3 linked regions of the Rattus norvegicus genome follow. The protein of the gene in region 3 purifies or fractionates together with the protein of the main gene of each other region. This does not show direct contact. Links are inferred from orthologs where the notes say so. Each region holds a gene or a part of one and is shown on either strand. Other genes may lie near its edges.

What was found.
Region 1: the proteins of Chaf1b (region 3) and Cbx1 purify together in Homo sapiens (affinity purification with mass spectrometry; 4 studies listed by BioGRID and IntAct, with this or other methods). This does not show direct contact. The link is inferred for Rattus norvegicus from reciprocal best matches to the Homo sapiens genes CHAF1B and CBX1.
Region 2: the proteins of Chaf1b (region 3) and Cbx5 purify together in Homo sapiens (affinity purification with mass spectrometry; 8 studies listed by BioGRID and IntAct, with this or other methods). This does not show direct contact. The link is inferred for Rattus norvegicus from reciprocal best matches to the Homo sapiens genes CHAF1B and CBX5.

Annotation. Positions count from the first base shown.
Region 1 is NC_086028.1:82,264,459-82,270,272, reverse strand, and holds the start of Cbx1 (chromobox protein homolog 1), read right to left. Parts: upstream 3,512-5,814; 5' UTR 3,291-3,511; exon of another isoform or gene 1-3,290. UniProt on the Homo sapiens protein: Component of heterochromatin. Recognizes and binds histone H3 tails methylated at 'Lys-9', leading to epigenetic repression. Interaction with lamin B receptor (LBR) can contribute to the association of the heterochromatin with the inner nuclear membrane.
Region 2 is NC_086025.1:136,211,037-136,216,158, forward strand, and holds the end of Cbx5 (chromobox protein homolog 5), read right to left. Parts: intron 2,283-5,122; coding exon 2,182-2,282; coding exon of another isoform or gene 2,178-2,181; exon of another isoform or gene 2,176-2,177; intron 1,160-2,175; coding exon 1,009-1,159; 3' UTR 612-1,008; downstream 1-611. UniProt on the Homo sapiens protein: Component of heterochromatin that recognizes and binds histone H3 tails methylated at 'Lys-9' (H3K9me), leading to epigenetic repression. In contrast, it is excluded from chromatin when 'Tyr-41' of histone H3 is phosphorylated (H3Y41ph).
Region 3 is NC_086029.1:46,672,663-46,677,784, forward strand, and holds part of Chaf1b (chromatin assembly factor 1 subunit B), read left to right. Parts: intron 1-1,141; coding exon 1,142-1,259; intron 1,260-2,087; coding exon 2,088-2,191; intron 2,192-5,122. UniProt on the Homo sapiens protein: Acts as a component of the histone chaperone complex chromatin assembly factor 1 (CAF-1), which assembles histone octamers onto DNA during replication and repair.

The sequences.
Region 1 (5,814 bases), on a different chromosome or scaffold from region 3:
GACTATCTTTCTTCTGCAACCACCTCTATTCAGTGTTTGTAGCAGGGAGACAGGGACAGAGGACAACTTACATACGTCAATTCCCTCCAGTCACTATGTCAGTCTTGGGACCAAACAGGTTGTCAGACTTGGTGGGAAGTGCCTTTATTCATCAAGTCATCTCAAAGGTCTAGCCTTTTTTTTTTTTTTTTTTTTTTTTTAAATTCTTCAGCCCAGGTCTCACTCTCTGGTCCAGGGTAGCATGGATTTTATTATACCTTATATAAACTAGACTGTCTTCAAACTCCAGGCAATAGCCTCTACTGTCTCTCCTTCAGTGACATATTATAGACACATGCCACATACCCACCTGTGAAATTATACACAAAACTTTATTTTACACCACTTTACACAAAAGACATTAAGAAGGCCAGAGTACAGCTCAGTGGCATAGCACATGGGTTTTGGGGTCCAATCCAGTGTACTACCACCACAGAAAAAAAAAACCAAAAACAAAAAACCCCCAAACCAGCACAACACACTTTCCCAAATTTGGGCTAGGAGTGTAGCTCATCAGCAGAAAGCTTGCCAAACTGGAATGCAGCTCAGTGTTTGCCTAACATGTAAGAGGCCCTGAATTCCACGCCAACACTGCAAAAAGTAAAAACACATACACATTAAAAATGAAACTGTCGGGGCTGGAGAAATGGCTCAGCGGCTAAGAGCACTGACTACCCTTCCAGAGGTCCTGAGTTCAAATCCCAGCAACCACATGGTGGCTCACAACCATCTGTAATGAGATCTGATGCCCTTTTCTGGTGTGTCTGAGGACATAGACAGTGTAATTAATATGTAACAAATAAATCTTAAAAAAATTGAAACTGTCAGCTAGGTATGATGGCGCACACCTATCTCAGTTCAGGGGCTGTAGAGAGAGATGGCTCAGTGGTTAAGAGCACTGACTGCGGGGCTGGGGATTTAGCTCAGTGGTAGAGCGCTTACCTAGGAAGTGCAAGGCCCTGGGTTTGGTCCCCAGATCCGGAAAAAAAGCAAAAAAAAAAAAAAAAAAAAAAAAAAAGCACTGACTGCTCTTTCAGAGGTCCTGAATTCAAATCCCAGCAACCACATGGTGGCTCACAACCATCTGTTATGAGATCTGATGCCCTCTTCAGCTACAGTGTACTTATATATAATGAATTTAAAAAAAAAAAAAAGATGATAAAATCCAAACATACCAACTTCTAGGTCCAGTCCTCAAAGTTGGAAAATGGGGGTATCAGGCTGATTCAACAGGTAAAGGTCCCACAACCCTAATGACCTGAGTTCAATCACTAGAACAAGTGTTACAGAAGAGAATGACCCCCACCCCCAAAGTTGTTCCTGATCTCCATAAGTATGTCATGGAACACCCGCCCCCACTTTTCAAAACTAAGGGAAGCTGAAGAGATGGCTCAGCAATTAAGAGTTCTCCCAGAGGTCCTGAGTTCAATTCCCAGCAACCATATAGAGGCTCACAACCATCTGTAATGAGATCTGATGCTCTCTGCTGGTGTGTCTGAAGACAGGGACAGTGTACTCATATACATAAAATAAAAAAAAAATAAAAAAAAGTGACTAGATAGAAAATTAGAAATGCTTTCACTGCCCAAATCTTTTAAGGAACATATGACTCTTTTCCCTAGGCCTTGAACTTCTGCTGCTCCTGCCTCTACCCCCCAAATGCTGGCTGTACTCACAGATAACTGGGCTCTTTTCAACACACCACCTCCCATATATGCCTAGAGAGCATCCAAGGAAGAGCACAGGCACCAATATCCTGATTATAGTCATACATCTATCAGAAAACCTTAGATCTTTTGATTAACACAAAACTGGAGAGGACACTATATTCTAGTGTAACTAGTATATAATATATATAACTAGTATATAATTTTTAAGACTTTTTATGGCACTGAAACATAACTCAGTGGTAGACAACTTGCATGTGTGCAAGGTCCTCAGTACCAAATACCGAAATGAGTTCCATATTTCTTTCTTTCTTTTTTTTTTTTTTTTTTTTGGTTCTTTTTTTTTCGGAGCTGGGGACCGAACCCAGGGCCTTGCGCTTCCTAGGTAAGCGCTCTACCACTGAGCTAAATCCCCAGCCCCGAGTTCCATATTTCATATACTGTGTTTCAGTATAAAACTATTTTCGATGCCTGTGGGCATGCAGGACCTGCTTTCTTTGGTCCCTGCCATACCCCACTTGTCAATCAGAGGACAATTTTGTGAAGTCAACTCTTTCTTTCCACCTTTACCTGGATCCTAAGAGTTAAATTGAGGCTTACACAGCAAGAACCTTTTTTATCTGATGAGTCTTGCCTCATACAGCCTCCCTACTCACAATAAAGACCTATTAAAGGCAGAAAGTGGCCTTTTCACCCTTGACTCCTCTGGTAGCCAAGGAAGGCCTTAAATTTCCGATCCACCGGTTTCCAGCTCCCAAGTGCTAAGATTACAGGTACAGGCCATCACACCCAGCCTAATTTATGGGATACTGGGGATTGAATCCAGGGGTTTGCGGCAGGGTAGGCAAACATTCTACCAACTAAGCTACACACCCCCAAGTACCCCTTTTTTCTTCCACATTTGACATGGACACGTTAGACTTCTACCCTACTTACCCCAGCAACTCCACTTTTAGACAAGGTCAAGAAAATGTCTGACCCTTCACCCCAAGACAGGTTCAACAAATCTCTTCCCCGTTAGCACACCCGGAGCAGCCCACGTCCAATTTTACTGGAAATTACTTTTTCATAACTCTGGCAAGAGAAATTTCTCTGATAGTGGCAATTGAACCCAATATCCTCAGGTTTCTTTTTCTTTCCTCCAAGTGCTAAGGGGATTGCCCGCGATTGCCACCGTGTCCACTCTCTCAGGTTACACTTCTAAACCTTTAGTGTACGAAGTCGTGATCCTTGCCACGCACACCCAAAGTACCAAGCCTGTCTCCTTATGGACGTCCCAAAGTTTTCTTCCTTCTCCCGCCCAACTCCAGAGTTGCTGAGCCGGGTCAAACGCTCCTCGTCTAGTTCTTGAAAAGCTAACCCTCCGATGGCTCCGCTCCTCAGGAACCACTCCGCGCCCGGACTCTGGATTCACTGCCCCGCCCTCTCCACGCTCCCGCAGACCGCGAGCTCTGCGCGGGAAACCGACCGGTCGGGCGCTGGGCCGCGTCCCCAGCTCCTGTCTCCACTCTTCCGTTAGCGGCCCGCGCTCGCCCGCGGCCTCCCGCCGTCGCTCCCCCTCCCGCTTCCAGCCCGCCTCTTCACCTCGTAGCAGCGCCCGACAGTCCGAGAGGAATCGGTGTCGCGCTTCTTGCGCGTTGCGTCAGGCGGTCCCAGGGAGTAGCACCCAGAGGAGCAAACAGCCGTGTGGCCTCAAGTCGGTCGTCCAGATGAAGCGGCGTACCGCAGGCCCGGCCAACGGCCCTCCCCTCAGCCGAACAAAAGAGATTCTCACTCTGCGCGGCCCGCCGCCTGCACTGCGCAGACGCGACGACCCGCCGCAGGGCAACTTGGGATTCAGAGTCGGCCCGAAACTACAAATCCCAGAGTGCCGCGAATCCCGCGCCGCCCACCTCCACTTTCAGGAGTTGTAGAGTTTTCTTTGTAGTTTCTTTTTTTTAACTTTCTGGAAAGGCGAAGTCGACTGTTTTGAACACATAACTCTACAGCCTAGAAAATTACTGGGTAATGGTGGGGTTTGTTTGTTTAATAACAGGGTACGTAGCCCAGCTGGCTTCGGAAGTTGTGGCCTTTCAATTGCTTCAAACCTCAGAGTGCTGGATTTCAGGGGCATGCTAGTACTCCTTGCTCAGTCTACAAAATTAGGACACGGGGGTTTGGAAACTAACACGTTGATGTTTGGTCACTCTGCACTTAAAAGAAAAATCTTATCATATTCGTTACCTGAGATTTATCAAATCTCCACCTTCAATAATGTCCAGCAAGCTTATCTATTATTGCCACCTAGAAGAGGTTCCTACCTCACAGTTTGAATCAGTATTCCGTTCAGAAAGTTAAACCTCTAGGTAGACACCATCGCCACTTTCTTAATTTTCTTTTTTTCTCTCCCCCTCCTTTTTTCTTGTTTCACTTTAGTTGTTTTTGTTGAGTGGACAGGGTCTCAAGGAAGCACTTAAACGCCTGATCTTCCTGCTTCCACTTCCCAAATGCGGAGATTACAGACATGTGCCACCACATGCAAAACTTTCCCTTTGTTGTCCTTGCCAGTGGGCGACTTTCATGGTGATTTCTTCATCTCCATGAACAAACTTTATCAAACTAGAGAAACAGAACTAAGCAAAAGGCACGACTGTCATTCTTTAACAAGTGCACTAGTTGTGATTCAGGTAGGTTGCTGCTGCTAATTGTTGGGCTGGGAACTCCAGTAAGGACAGAAGACTCATTGTATCCGCCACACTCAGTAAAGTCCTGTGCTTATTGCTAGCATGCATACGGTCATGCTTTGACTCTCAGTATTTATTGGTAAAAATTCATTGATAGTCGGTTTAAGTGAATATATGAGATGTCCAACAGATAATAGAACTGATCAAATTTTCCAAGACCTCTTGTACTAGTACTCAGGATTAAGGCAGGAGGATTGTTGTGAGTTTAAGAGAGGCTTAGGCTATGTAAGGAGTACCAGGCCAGCCTAGGTTATAGAATGAGAGCATGTCTCAAAAAACCAAAACAAGGACAACTTTCCTGTTCAAAAAACTTAAGACAAAAGAAAAAGAGAGATTAGCTTCACAATATCATACAAAAATCAGTCAAAAGAGTCTGATTCTTCCTGAAAATACTTGGGTCAAGCCTCCAAAACCAGGCGGCAACCCATGCATTCTGGATAACTTTAATAGTGACAATACTAGGGGCTGGAGAGATGGCTCAGTGGTTAAGAGCACTGACTGCTCTTCCAGAGGTCCTGAGTTCAATTCCCAGCAACCACATGGTTACTCACAACCATCCGTAATGGGATCTGATGCCCTCTTCCGGTGTGTGTCTGAAGACAGCTATAATGTACTCATATATAATAAATAAATAAATCTTTAAAAAAAACTTAGTTTTGTTCTATCTTGTATTGGTGTTGGGCATCAAATCCAGTGCCTTGTATATGATAAGGGCACTTTATAGTCCTGGAGAGGTGGTTTAAAAGTTAAGGCTCTTGCTGCTCAGATCAAAGTTCTGTTTCCAGCACCCATGTGGTTCACAACCTCCTGTAACTCCAGTTCCAGAGAACCCAACTCCTTCAGATCTCAGCTACGCACACATACACTCAGGCACACAACTCTTTACTACTGAGCTATTCTTCAAGCTCAAGACATTATTATTGAGGTCCTATTCCACTGCCAGGAATCCTGGTTTCTTTTTTTTTCACCTTCTTATTCTTGAATCTGGACCCTTGTATGTAACAAGCAAACCCTGTGAAGCTAGGAACCTACCCTCAGCTTCTCCAGCCCAGGTAAAGCAGCCCCTTTCCCTACAGACAGGCTTTCTCTGTCTTGACAGCTTTCTGGCTGTCTTGAAACTCAATCTGGAGACCAGGCTGGCCTTGAACTCCAGAGATCCAGCTGCCTCTGCTTCCCAAGTGCTGGGATTAGAGGGGTGCGCTACCATGCCCGGCTAAGTTACTTTTTTGATTTTTTTTTCTTTTTCTTTTTTTTCGGAGCTGGGGACCGAACCCAGGGCCTTGCGCTTGCTAGGCGAGCACTCGACCACTGAGCTAAATCCCCAACCCCTTTTTTGATTATTTTTAAGTCGGGGTCTTCTACATAAAATCCTTGGCCGTGAACTC
Region 2 (5,122 bases), on a different chromosome or scaffold from region 3:
ATTTAGAAACTGATGACACTGTGGCTAATGGTTCCTTTCTAACAATTCCCAACTTAAAATAACGGCACGGAAGGGAATGTGTGGATCTGCTGATTCCTCTTTGGTACAGGAATGCTTTGGGAGGCCATAAAAGTTGGCAGGGTGCTTGGCACAAGCAAGCACCAGGCAGTCCCTACACCTACATAAATAGAGTCTAGGAATGAGGGTGAAGGAAAGAACACATGCACACCATGTGATACCAAAGACAACCGCATCCAGCCCCGTCCTGTTATCGTCCTGCACTACAGCTTACAGACCCCACAGTTAATCCTGTCATTTAATAACAAACTGATACACTTTACAGAAGCAGAATCAGGGATTGAAAGTAACGAAGCCAAAAGAGTGTGAGGGCTAAACAGTGTAAAGTCTCAAGCCCTCAAGAGAACTGAGTTGTTATGGGAGGGTAGGTGAGAATAGTCAGGAGTGGCCCAGAAGACCACACCAGGGACCCTGTATTCTCCTGGCAGAGCTAAGTGAGATTAAAAAATACACAACATGTAGGCTGCTGCTATTAGCTTTCTAAAAGCTGGACAACATCCTTTCTATGCCAGTATGTCAAAACAAAGGCCAGCTGGTCATCAATATATTCTAATTAACAACCAAGAAACTGAAGTCATCGTCATTATAATAAAATTCCCCAAAGCAACCAACCCCAAAGATCACGACTCTAAGGTGATTAAAAGTTACAGGGAACAGAAGGAAAAGATCAGGATGAAAGAGAACACTATGGGAACCACACAGCATGTGAAGGATGTAATGCCTGACTTTCACAGAGCTACACTTAGGAGTCAGACCATCAGTTATATTACAAGGGAACCAATACCAACATCTCTCCCGTGGAGCACAGTGATTGATAAGCACATCATTTTTATGGATATGTTTAGGATGGAAAGGGACGGGAGAAGCGAGAGGAGGCAGGAAGGTGAAGGTATTATATACAAAGAGAAATGACAGAGACTGCCTCCTCCTTTAGCTCTTTGCGCTTTCTTTTTCTTTGTTTTCCGCATCCTCTGGATACGCATGCCACGTCAGTCTCTCTTCATAAAATGCTATCACAATTTGTGGACATTTCACATTAGCTTCTTTTGCAAGGACCAGGTCAGCTTCATCTGTGTCTTTCCTGGAAAGAAAGGGTACAAGACTTAGAAGGAGACATGAGACTGAGACAGTCTGTCAGTGTCAATGCCTGAGGTTAGCTGGTTTGATATCGAAGTAGAAAAGGCTCTTTACAGGGCTGGAGATATAGCTCAGAGGTGGAGTCTCTGTATTTGACCTTTAGCATCAAAAAATAAACAAAAAATAAAGAGCTGAAGAAATGGCTGTTCTTGCAGAGGACCTGGGCTCAGTTCCTAGCACCTACATGGTACCACAGGACTGCCTGTAATGCCAGTTCCAGGGGATCCAACACCCTCTTCTAGCCTCTGCAGGCGCTGCACACATGGTACACACACACAACATATATATATGGAGGCAAAACACATACACGTAGAAAAAAAATTAAATAGGCAATAAATCTTAAAAGAAAAAGGAAAGGGAGGAAAGGAAAGAGAAGAAAGGAAAAGGCCAGTCAGATATGTGAGTACATGCCTATAACTCTGTAACTCCAGGCCTAGGGAGATGGGGACAGGAGAATGAGTTCAATGTCCTGCACTACATAGTAAGTTCAAGGACACCTTGAGCTACATGAGACCTTGTCAAGAAAGGAGGAAGGGAGGATGGGGAAGTATTCCACTTTCTTCTGTAAGTCACTTTCTCTAATAAAGTAATTTGTGCTTTATTTCTTTATTTAGCATTCAGTTTGATGTCTTTTGTTGAAATTAATTTCTCTTTTAGACATCATTTGGTGACCCTGATCCTCAATGATGTAGGAAGTTTTACTTAGCTCTTACCCCATAGTCATAGGCTAATGATCTCACGGTAAATGATTCAGTTCTATACAGAATTTAGGTAGTAGTAATACTTTTTTTTAATCCAAATATGATTACTATAACACAACAATACCAAAGTTTGAGAATGTCACAAATTTATTCTGAACCATAAATTCCCACTTAATACTGACACTATGGATTAAATTTAGGAATTCTCAATTTCACACTCTTTCTTCATAGCAAAAACACAACTGTGAAGCACAATTCCTCTTACCATTTCATTAAGAACATTAAGTCTCCACAGGAATCTGTCGCCCCAATGATCTTTTCTGGTTCCAGTCCTCTCTCAAAGCCCCGAGCGATATCATTGCTTTGCTATAAATAGAATAGGAGAGATTGGAGCTTGCAGAGATCAAGGAAAAACAAAACAAAACAAAACACCTGTTTTTCTGAGCTACAAATCATAGCCTTTGTTAATATCATCTGTTATCATTTGTCATCAGTTCAGAAAATCCTTGCAACTCAAGAAATCAGAGGCAGCAATGTTATGAGATATTTTTGCAATAGATGTAGTCATCTTCCCTGGTATTCCTTGTAAATGATTAAGGGGGGACCCCCCACAAGTCTTTAGCACCCCAGGAGTCTCAGGAGAATCACCTGGGTACTCCACCCCTCTAAGCTACTCAATCTCTTCAGCACTGCGAGCAGACCCTCCCTCTACTGTGACTTCTCAGACAGCAAACAAGCTCACTTTCACTCTCAACTTCAGATGCTTTCTCGACAATAGCCTTTTAGACTTTTAATTTATCTTAACAGTGGCCAACAGTTTTAATATTTCACAGTCATTTATATTGTAAAACAGAGGTTCAAAGATCACCAACACTAACTTGCATATAACCTGAGAAAGGAGCCTCTGGCCTGCTCAGACTCGCTACTCACATTAATTGGGACTGGTCTGAGACTGCAAACAACTGAACTGACCTCATGAGAGGAGCACAAGGCCTGCTTTAGTCTCTGGCTGATCCAGGTGTGATGACAACAGTCAGAACAAAAAAGTCTAATTTTATACATATTTTTTTCTAAAATTTACAAGAGATAATACAAGCTCACTCATCACAAAGAAAACTTAAGATTTACCATAGGAACCAAATCCCAACCCTCTCTGATCATGACTTGCCTTTGAGCTACAAAAGCAGGCCAGTTAGACAGCTCAGTGGGCAAAAAGGCTTGTAGCCAAGCCCAACAACCTGAGTTCGATCCCTAGGACTCACAGGGTGCACAGGGAGTATCAACTCCCACATATTCCCTGACCCATACCCCTCAAAACAATGAGCAAATACAAAACACACAAACAAATGATTCTGAAATAGATACACAAAAGTCTGCACGGTCCTGGTGGTCCTCAAAGATACCAGAACCCCAAAAGGAAGGAAATCGTAGCCAAGGATCAGTGGGAAGACACTGGCTCTTTAAGACACAACCTCTTTGGGGCATTTAAGGGGAATTGGTTCCCAGATGCAAACACAGCTGCTCACAGCTGGAATGCTGGCACAGTGACTAAGTCATACATCATCTCTGGCAGCTGGAAAGAGTCTGCTACATAGGGAGGGAAATAGAAAAAGAATGTTCAAGCTGCTGAAAGGAGCTGAGGCAAGGAAAACACTAAAATCATCACAGGTAGTAATCTTAAATCAGGCATAAAACCGACTAAGAAATTTCTTCTGCAGTGGTCTAAAAAAAGGCAATCTCCCCATACCTTGAAAACACACAACTACTATGATCATGCCAGCTGTCTACCTGACAGCAGCCAGTATTGCTGAGAATGCTATCAAAGGCCCCAGACAAACATTATGATGTAAAGGGTGTCTGGAGGTTGTTTTCAAGGTCAGCAGCTCCAGAACCTAGACACGAAGCCCTCTGAAGTGGCCGGGGACTCAAATCAAAGCCAGATTACTGCCTTTAAAAGAACAAGACCTTAAGTTGAAGAAATGTTTACTATCTTTCACAATACATAGTTAAAAGTCTTTGATTATTATTTGCTACTTTAACTAGAAATGAACCAAATGACAAAAGTCAGAACACAAAGGGTTAAAAAAAGGTGATACCACCAAGCCCAAAGTTCCAACTTCAATTCCAAGACCAACCTGGTAGAAGAAGGCTACTGTCTTTTTCAAGTTGTTCTCTACCATCCACCCATGTGCAGTCCACACATGCTTAACACATGCGAAATAATAAAATGTACTAAAATATATAAATGAAATTTAAAAAGGGCACAGACAGAGTGAGACCAGCAAGGTCTACACAGTGAGTTTCAGGCCAGCCAAGGTTCATGCATTGTTTGAGACCCCATCTCATACAAACAAACAAACCCCAAAACAAAAAACAAGTCCTCAGAAAATGAAAAGTATTCTTCCCTTAAGTTCCTCATCAATACAGTTTATTATAGTCAGAATATGGCATAGGTTGCAGCCGGTGCTGGCCCTGGCCTTTAATCCCAGTGCTCAAAAGGCAGATGCAAGAGAATCTCTGTGAATCAGACATCAGCCAGGTCTACATAGCCAGCTCCAGGGCAGCCATTACTACACAGAGACCTTGTCTTAGTAAACAAACAAACAAACAAACAAACAAAGAAGTTGTAAAATTAAAATAACAAGAGAAAGAGGTCAGGGACAGCCCCCATAGAGGCCAAGAATTACACACAACCTTTATAAAACCCCAATGCTTCAGTTTACCCACAGAAACTCTCATTTAACTGATGTGAGGTTCACCTTGGTTACTAGAGGCATAGTCACAGTTTTGAGAAAAGTGTACAAAAATGGGCATCTAACTTTAGCATAGATAAACAGGGATGCTATATGAACTAATACTTGTATTTTATTAAATATTAAGCACATAGGTTTCATAACCCTGAAATAAATGGCAAGAGGGAAAGCTGGAGATGTAGAATGTTTGTGTAACATATACATTTGGCAAAGATGAGACAGAAAAAAAAGGGACAATGTGGTGTTTATACACCCTCAATCTAAAAATCAGGTAAAAGCAACTGAATCAAACCAAACTTCATAATTACTTTCCAAACTAAAGAATAAACACACAAAAGATGAAAATTATTTTCTTTTTAGGTTATACAGCTAGAATAAAATTAGTGAAAGTAGCCAGGTATGGTGCTATTTAGGCACATGCCTAAAATCCCACCGTTCAGGAGCCGATGGCAG
Region 3 (5,122 bases):
TGTCCTCTTCTGGTGTGTCTGACAGCTACAGTGTACTCATATAAATGAATTAGATAAATTTTTAACAAAAAGAGAATACAGAAAAAGTAATCCTTATACCATACATTAAATACTCTGGACAACAGTAGAAAGTAAAAAAAATCTTAGTTTTTGTTTGAAAAAAGAGGAATAGTTGTGTTCTGTGCCCTAATGCCCAGAATATGTGGGGTGTGAGTGTCTGTGTGCATGCATTGTACATTGTACACAGACATGATGTGCATGCATTCACACATTCACACAAGTAGAACAGTGTTGCCGGGGCTGTAGACCGTCTCCTATGAGGTGGCCCTGGGGCAGTTCCCATTTACAAAGCCCCTCAGCCTTGCAGACCGAAACCTCCCTTTAGTCTGCTCATGGAGAGTGTTGACCTGTCCAGCCATTTCATCTCTAGCAGGCTCCCTGACGAGCTTCTATAGCTAGGATTCCAGGTAGCTTTGAGTGAGCTCCTTTTGTCGTCTGTAGTTCCTGTCTGTATTTCCTGCTCTCTCGTTTGCTCTCTTTTCTGGACATGGTAAAAGGATCATGTTACAGTGAGCCTGTAGTCACCTCAGGAGAAACCGTTAGGTCTGGACCATTGCTGTGTCAGGCTGAGGTGTCTGATGTGTCCGTACTGATACGGTGAAGGAGTGTGTGGCTTACATGTCCAAGCCGCCGAGCTACAAGTGCTGTCCACAGATTCCTACACTCAGTCCTCACAGGGGCACTGTGAGGTGGGTATGCATCAAGATGAGGCCCACAGGCACAATCTGCAGACCGGCACTGCCTTTCCTCTTCCTGATCTGCCATCTTTAAGTTGTTTCTCTAGTTTCTTAATGTAGAGGTTCAAACTTTTTGTGTTTTCCTGAGGTGGGGTCTCATGTAGCCCAGGCTAACCTCAAACTCGCCATGTAGCCTTGCTTTGGATCCACCTACCCCAGTCTCCCAGGGGCTGGGTTACAGGCATGTATCACTGTGCACAGCCTGTCCATATTCTTGGCAGTGAGTGACTCCGCAGGCCAGACCGTCCACCGAGCCACATAAAACATACAGGACACCATAAAACTCCAGAAGTGAAGGAGGGCACGGGAGAGCCTGGCTCATGCTGTGCTGATTTACCTCACAGATGCCGTCATCCTGCTGTGGAAGATGAATGACAGCAAGGAGCCGGAGCAGATCGCCTTTCAGGATGAAGATGAGGCTCAGCTGAACAAGGAGAACTGGACTGTGGTAAAAACCCTGAGGTAACGGGGGAGGGGCTGCCCCTGCAGTTTGTTTTCTAATTAAAGGTCTATTTTGGTTATTCTAACTTATGATTGTTTGGCTTGTGAGTGAAGTGCGTTGTGTGTGAGTAACCGAAGAGGTCAGAAGAGGTAAGCGAATCCCTCGGAGCTGGAATCACAGGGGTTCTGTGGAGCCCGCCTTGGGGCGGAGAGCACAGCTTGACTTCAGATTAGCAGCAAGTGTGATTAAGTCCCACTTCACAGTCTGAATACCTTAATAGTTTATGTACCTAACGTAAAGCCTTTGCCTACTTTATAAGAGAATAAAGGATTAGAACAAGATAAAAATACATTTTTCTCTCCGTTATGAAGTTTCCCTTGGGGAAAAAGAATCCGGTCTTCCCCGACCTGGTTTTTGAGCCAGCCTAGTCTAGCTATGAAGCCCAGGCTGGTCTTGAACACTCTACCCTATTCCCTTGGCTTCCTAGTGCTTGGAATATCAGTGTGGGCCCGTGATGCCCTCTGATTCACATTCAATACAGATGTCCTTGAAAACAAATGTTTAGAGCCAGGCCTGACACAGCTCCACTGAAAATCCCTACAGTCTAATTCCAGTGTGTGGTTTTAGACTTTGAACTTTTTTCCCCCAGTTTTTCGAGACAGGGTTTCTGTGCGTAGCCTTGGCTGTCCTGGAACTCACTCTGTAGACTAGGCTGGCCTTGAACTCAGAGATCCTTCTCTCTCTGCCTCCATAGGGCATGCACCACCACTGCCCAGTGACTTTGAACTTTTTGATAGCTTTTCTCTTTTTGCAGTAATAATGTTATTCCTTCTGTCTTTGGACTCTAGGGGCCACTTAGAAGATGTGTATGATATATGCTGGGCAACTGATGGGAATATGATGGCCTCTGCTTCTGTGGATAACACAGTTATCATATGGGATGTCAGTAAAGGTGAGCCATATACTTACTTTATTAACATTATGTGTATATGTACACACACATGCATGCAGTGCCCATGGAATCCAGAACAGGTTGCCTGAGCCCCTGGACCTGAGTGACAGGTGGCTGTAAGGCTCCCTCCCAACCTGGGTACTAGGAACCACCAAGCTTGGGTCCTCTGTGAGAGCAGGTAGAGCTCTGACCTGCTGAGCTCCAGACCGAGTGGTTTATTTCTGCTGTTATGAGGAGGAAGAAGATGCCAGAGTTAGGGATGCTGAGTCGGGAGCAGTTTTGGCAGAGGCAGAAATCCAGACACTGCCCAGACCTTCATTATTTCATTCTGCCAGTGTCAGCCAAGTGACGAGTCCTGCCCTTGTCCCCTTCTGTCTTCCAAAGGCTTTACTTGAGAAACTCAGGTCCCAGTTCCTGTTTCCTGGTCTATTAGCCTGTGTCTCGGTTACTCTTCTGTTGCTGTGATAAGCCACGGTGACCAAGGGAACTTGTAAAAGGAAGGATGAAGTGGTTGGAATATGCTTGGCCCACAGGAAGTAGCACTTTAGGAGGCGTGGCCTTGGAGGAAGTGTGTCACCGTGGGGGTGGGCTCTGAGGTCCTATGCTCAAGTTCTGCCCAGTGCAGAAAAGGCTCTCCTCCTGGCTGCCTGCAGAAGACAGAATCCTCCTGGCTGCCTTTGGGTCAAGATGTAGAACTCTCAGCTCCTTCTCCTGTACCAAGTCTGCCTGGACGCTGCCGTGCTTCCCTCCATGATGATAATGGACTGAACCTCTGAACTGTGAGCCAACCCCTGTCCTTTATAAGGGTTGCCGTGGTCATGGTGTCTGTTCAGAGCAGTAAAACTAAGGCAGAAGTTGGTACCAGGGGCTGAGGTACTGTTGTGACGGGCCTGAGCATGCTTTTCTATGGGAGAATGTGGACTCTGGGCCTTTGGATTTGGAAGCAGTGGGATGTTTTAGGTGGGTCCTAATGCACTATCCTAGTAGGATCGTGAAAGACATTGGTGCTGAGCGCGATTTGACTATGGGGTCCTGGCTCTAGCTGTTTCAGAAGAGAAGAATTTTAGTTTGTGCCTGGAGACTGCTCTGATATTTTGGTGAAGGATGTGGCTGCTTTTTGCCCTTGTTCAAAGAGTCTAGCTGAGGCCAAGGTGAAGAGATTCATCAGATTAATTGCACTGACAGAAGTCTTAGATCAACTAAGTTTAGACTCTGTCCTACGGTTCACTCTTAGAAGGAATGATTTGATAAAGTGTAGCAAGATTAGAAAGCAGGATACGGAAGGTCAAAGAGTAAAGGGACACCAGGAAGTCGAATGGAGCCTGAGAATAGGACCCCAAAGCCCACCCCCACGGTGACACACTTCCTGCAACAAAGCCATGCCTCCTAATAGTGCCACTTCCTGTGGGCCATGCATATTCAAGCCACAGGGTGCTTAATTTGGTGCTCAAAGTTTTAGAGGATTAGAGTCCATGAACATCATGGTGGTGGTTGGTGGGGGTAAGGTGTTAAACAGGCAGGCACAGTGCTAGAACAGTGCCCGAGAGCTCACCACTTGTTCCACAACCCTGAGGCAGGGAGGGAAAGCACTCTAACTGGCAATGGCAAGTGGCCTGAGCTTTCAAAAACCTCAGAACCGGGGCTGGGGATTTAGCTCAGTGGTAGAGCGCTTACCTAGGAAGCGCAAGGCCCTGGGTTCGGTCCCCAGCTCCGGGAAAAAAAAAAAAAAAGAACCAAAAAAAAAAACCCTCAGAACCCACCCCTGGGGACCCCCCTCCAATAGGCCACACCCCCTCATCCTTCTCAAACAGTTTCACCAACAGGGACTAAGCACTCAAGTTATGGGAGCTACCATGCTCCCAATCGCTAGCATATTGTTTATGTCTAGCTTGCCTCTCTGTATGATTCCGAGCCCTCTCTGACCTCATTCTTCCTCTTACCTTTGAGGATAACCCCCTGCCTGAGATCTGGATTGTTTTCCACCTTTAAGTTTCTCAGCCCTGGCCTCACAGATACTTCTCAAACTCTCGTGATTGTGGGGGGCGGGGGAGGGATCCTTCCTCAGGTCCCGCCCTTGAATGGTTAGTTTACATAGGACGTGTGTAGGCCCCCTTGAGCTTGCCTTTCAATCCAACCTTCCTTAACCCCAGCCAACTTCCTGGAAAGTCTGTCAAGTTGAGAGATGCCCTGAGGTTGGGGAGGGAGAACAGCACATTAGAATTAGATAGAAGCATGTCCCCTGGTGCTGTGGGTCCCCTGTGCTGTGAGTTAGCAGTACTGGCGGGTAGTGGGCTTGGACTTAGCAGTGGCAATGGGGTGGGTGAGGAAGGGAAGGAGGGTGAAAGAATTGAGAAAATGAAGAAGAGGGTCTTCTCTCATGGACTGAGCCTGGGGTCTTGGGCTTGTTCTTTTGTTTGCTTTCAAATGGTTAAGGCCTTTGAATGGTGACTTAAATTACTGAATATTGCTTTGTTTGAGTGAAGTGTGCTGGTCTGAGTGGCCTGTGAATTTCGGGGCTGGTCAGTAGTTCTGTATGGTCTAGAAGCCGCCCCATGAGCAAAACAGGCATGAAGTTAAGTGAATAGCATTTCAAGTTGATGGTTGTTGCATAAAGTCTGCACTTGGAGGTGAATTCAGGTCTGAGTCCTTGTTGGTGCTGTGTCCATATCCAACTGTGATGAGCCTATGTGTGCCAAGCTGATGGATGGGGGCGCTTTGTGCTGAACACCAACCTCATTAAGATGGGGGATGAGGGAGACCAGGCGTGAGCGGGCCTCTGGAACACGAGAGAGAAGTCTTCCTCCTTGGAAGTGGCCGGGTGTGGTTACACAGTGCCGAGGAATCAAAGCAAAGAATCCCAGACCAAAGGTTGCTGAAGAATAATTCAAATGCAGGAGCAAGCAATTACGGCCAGACATAGAGTCCATGCCG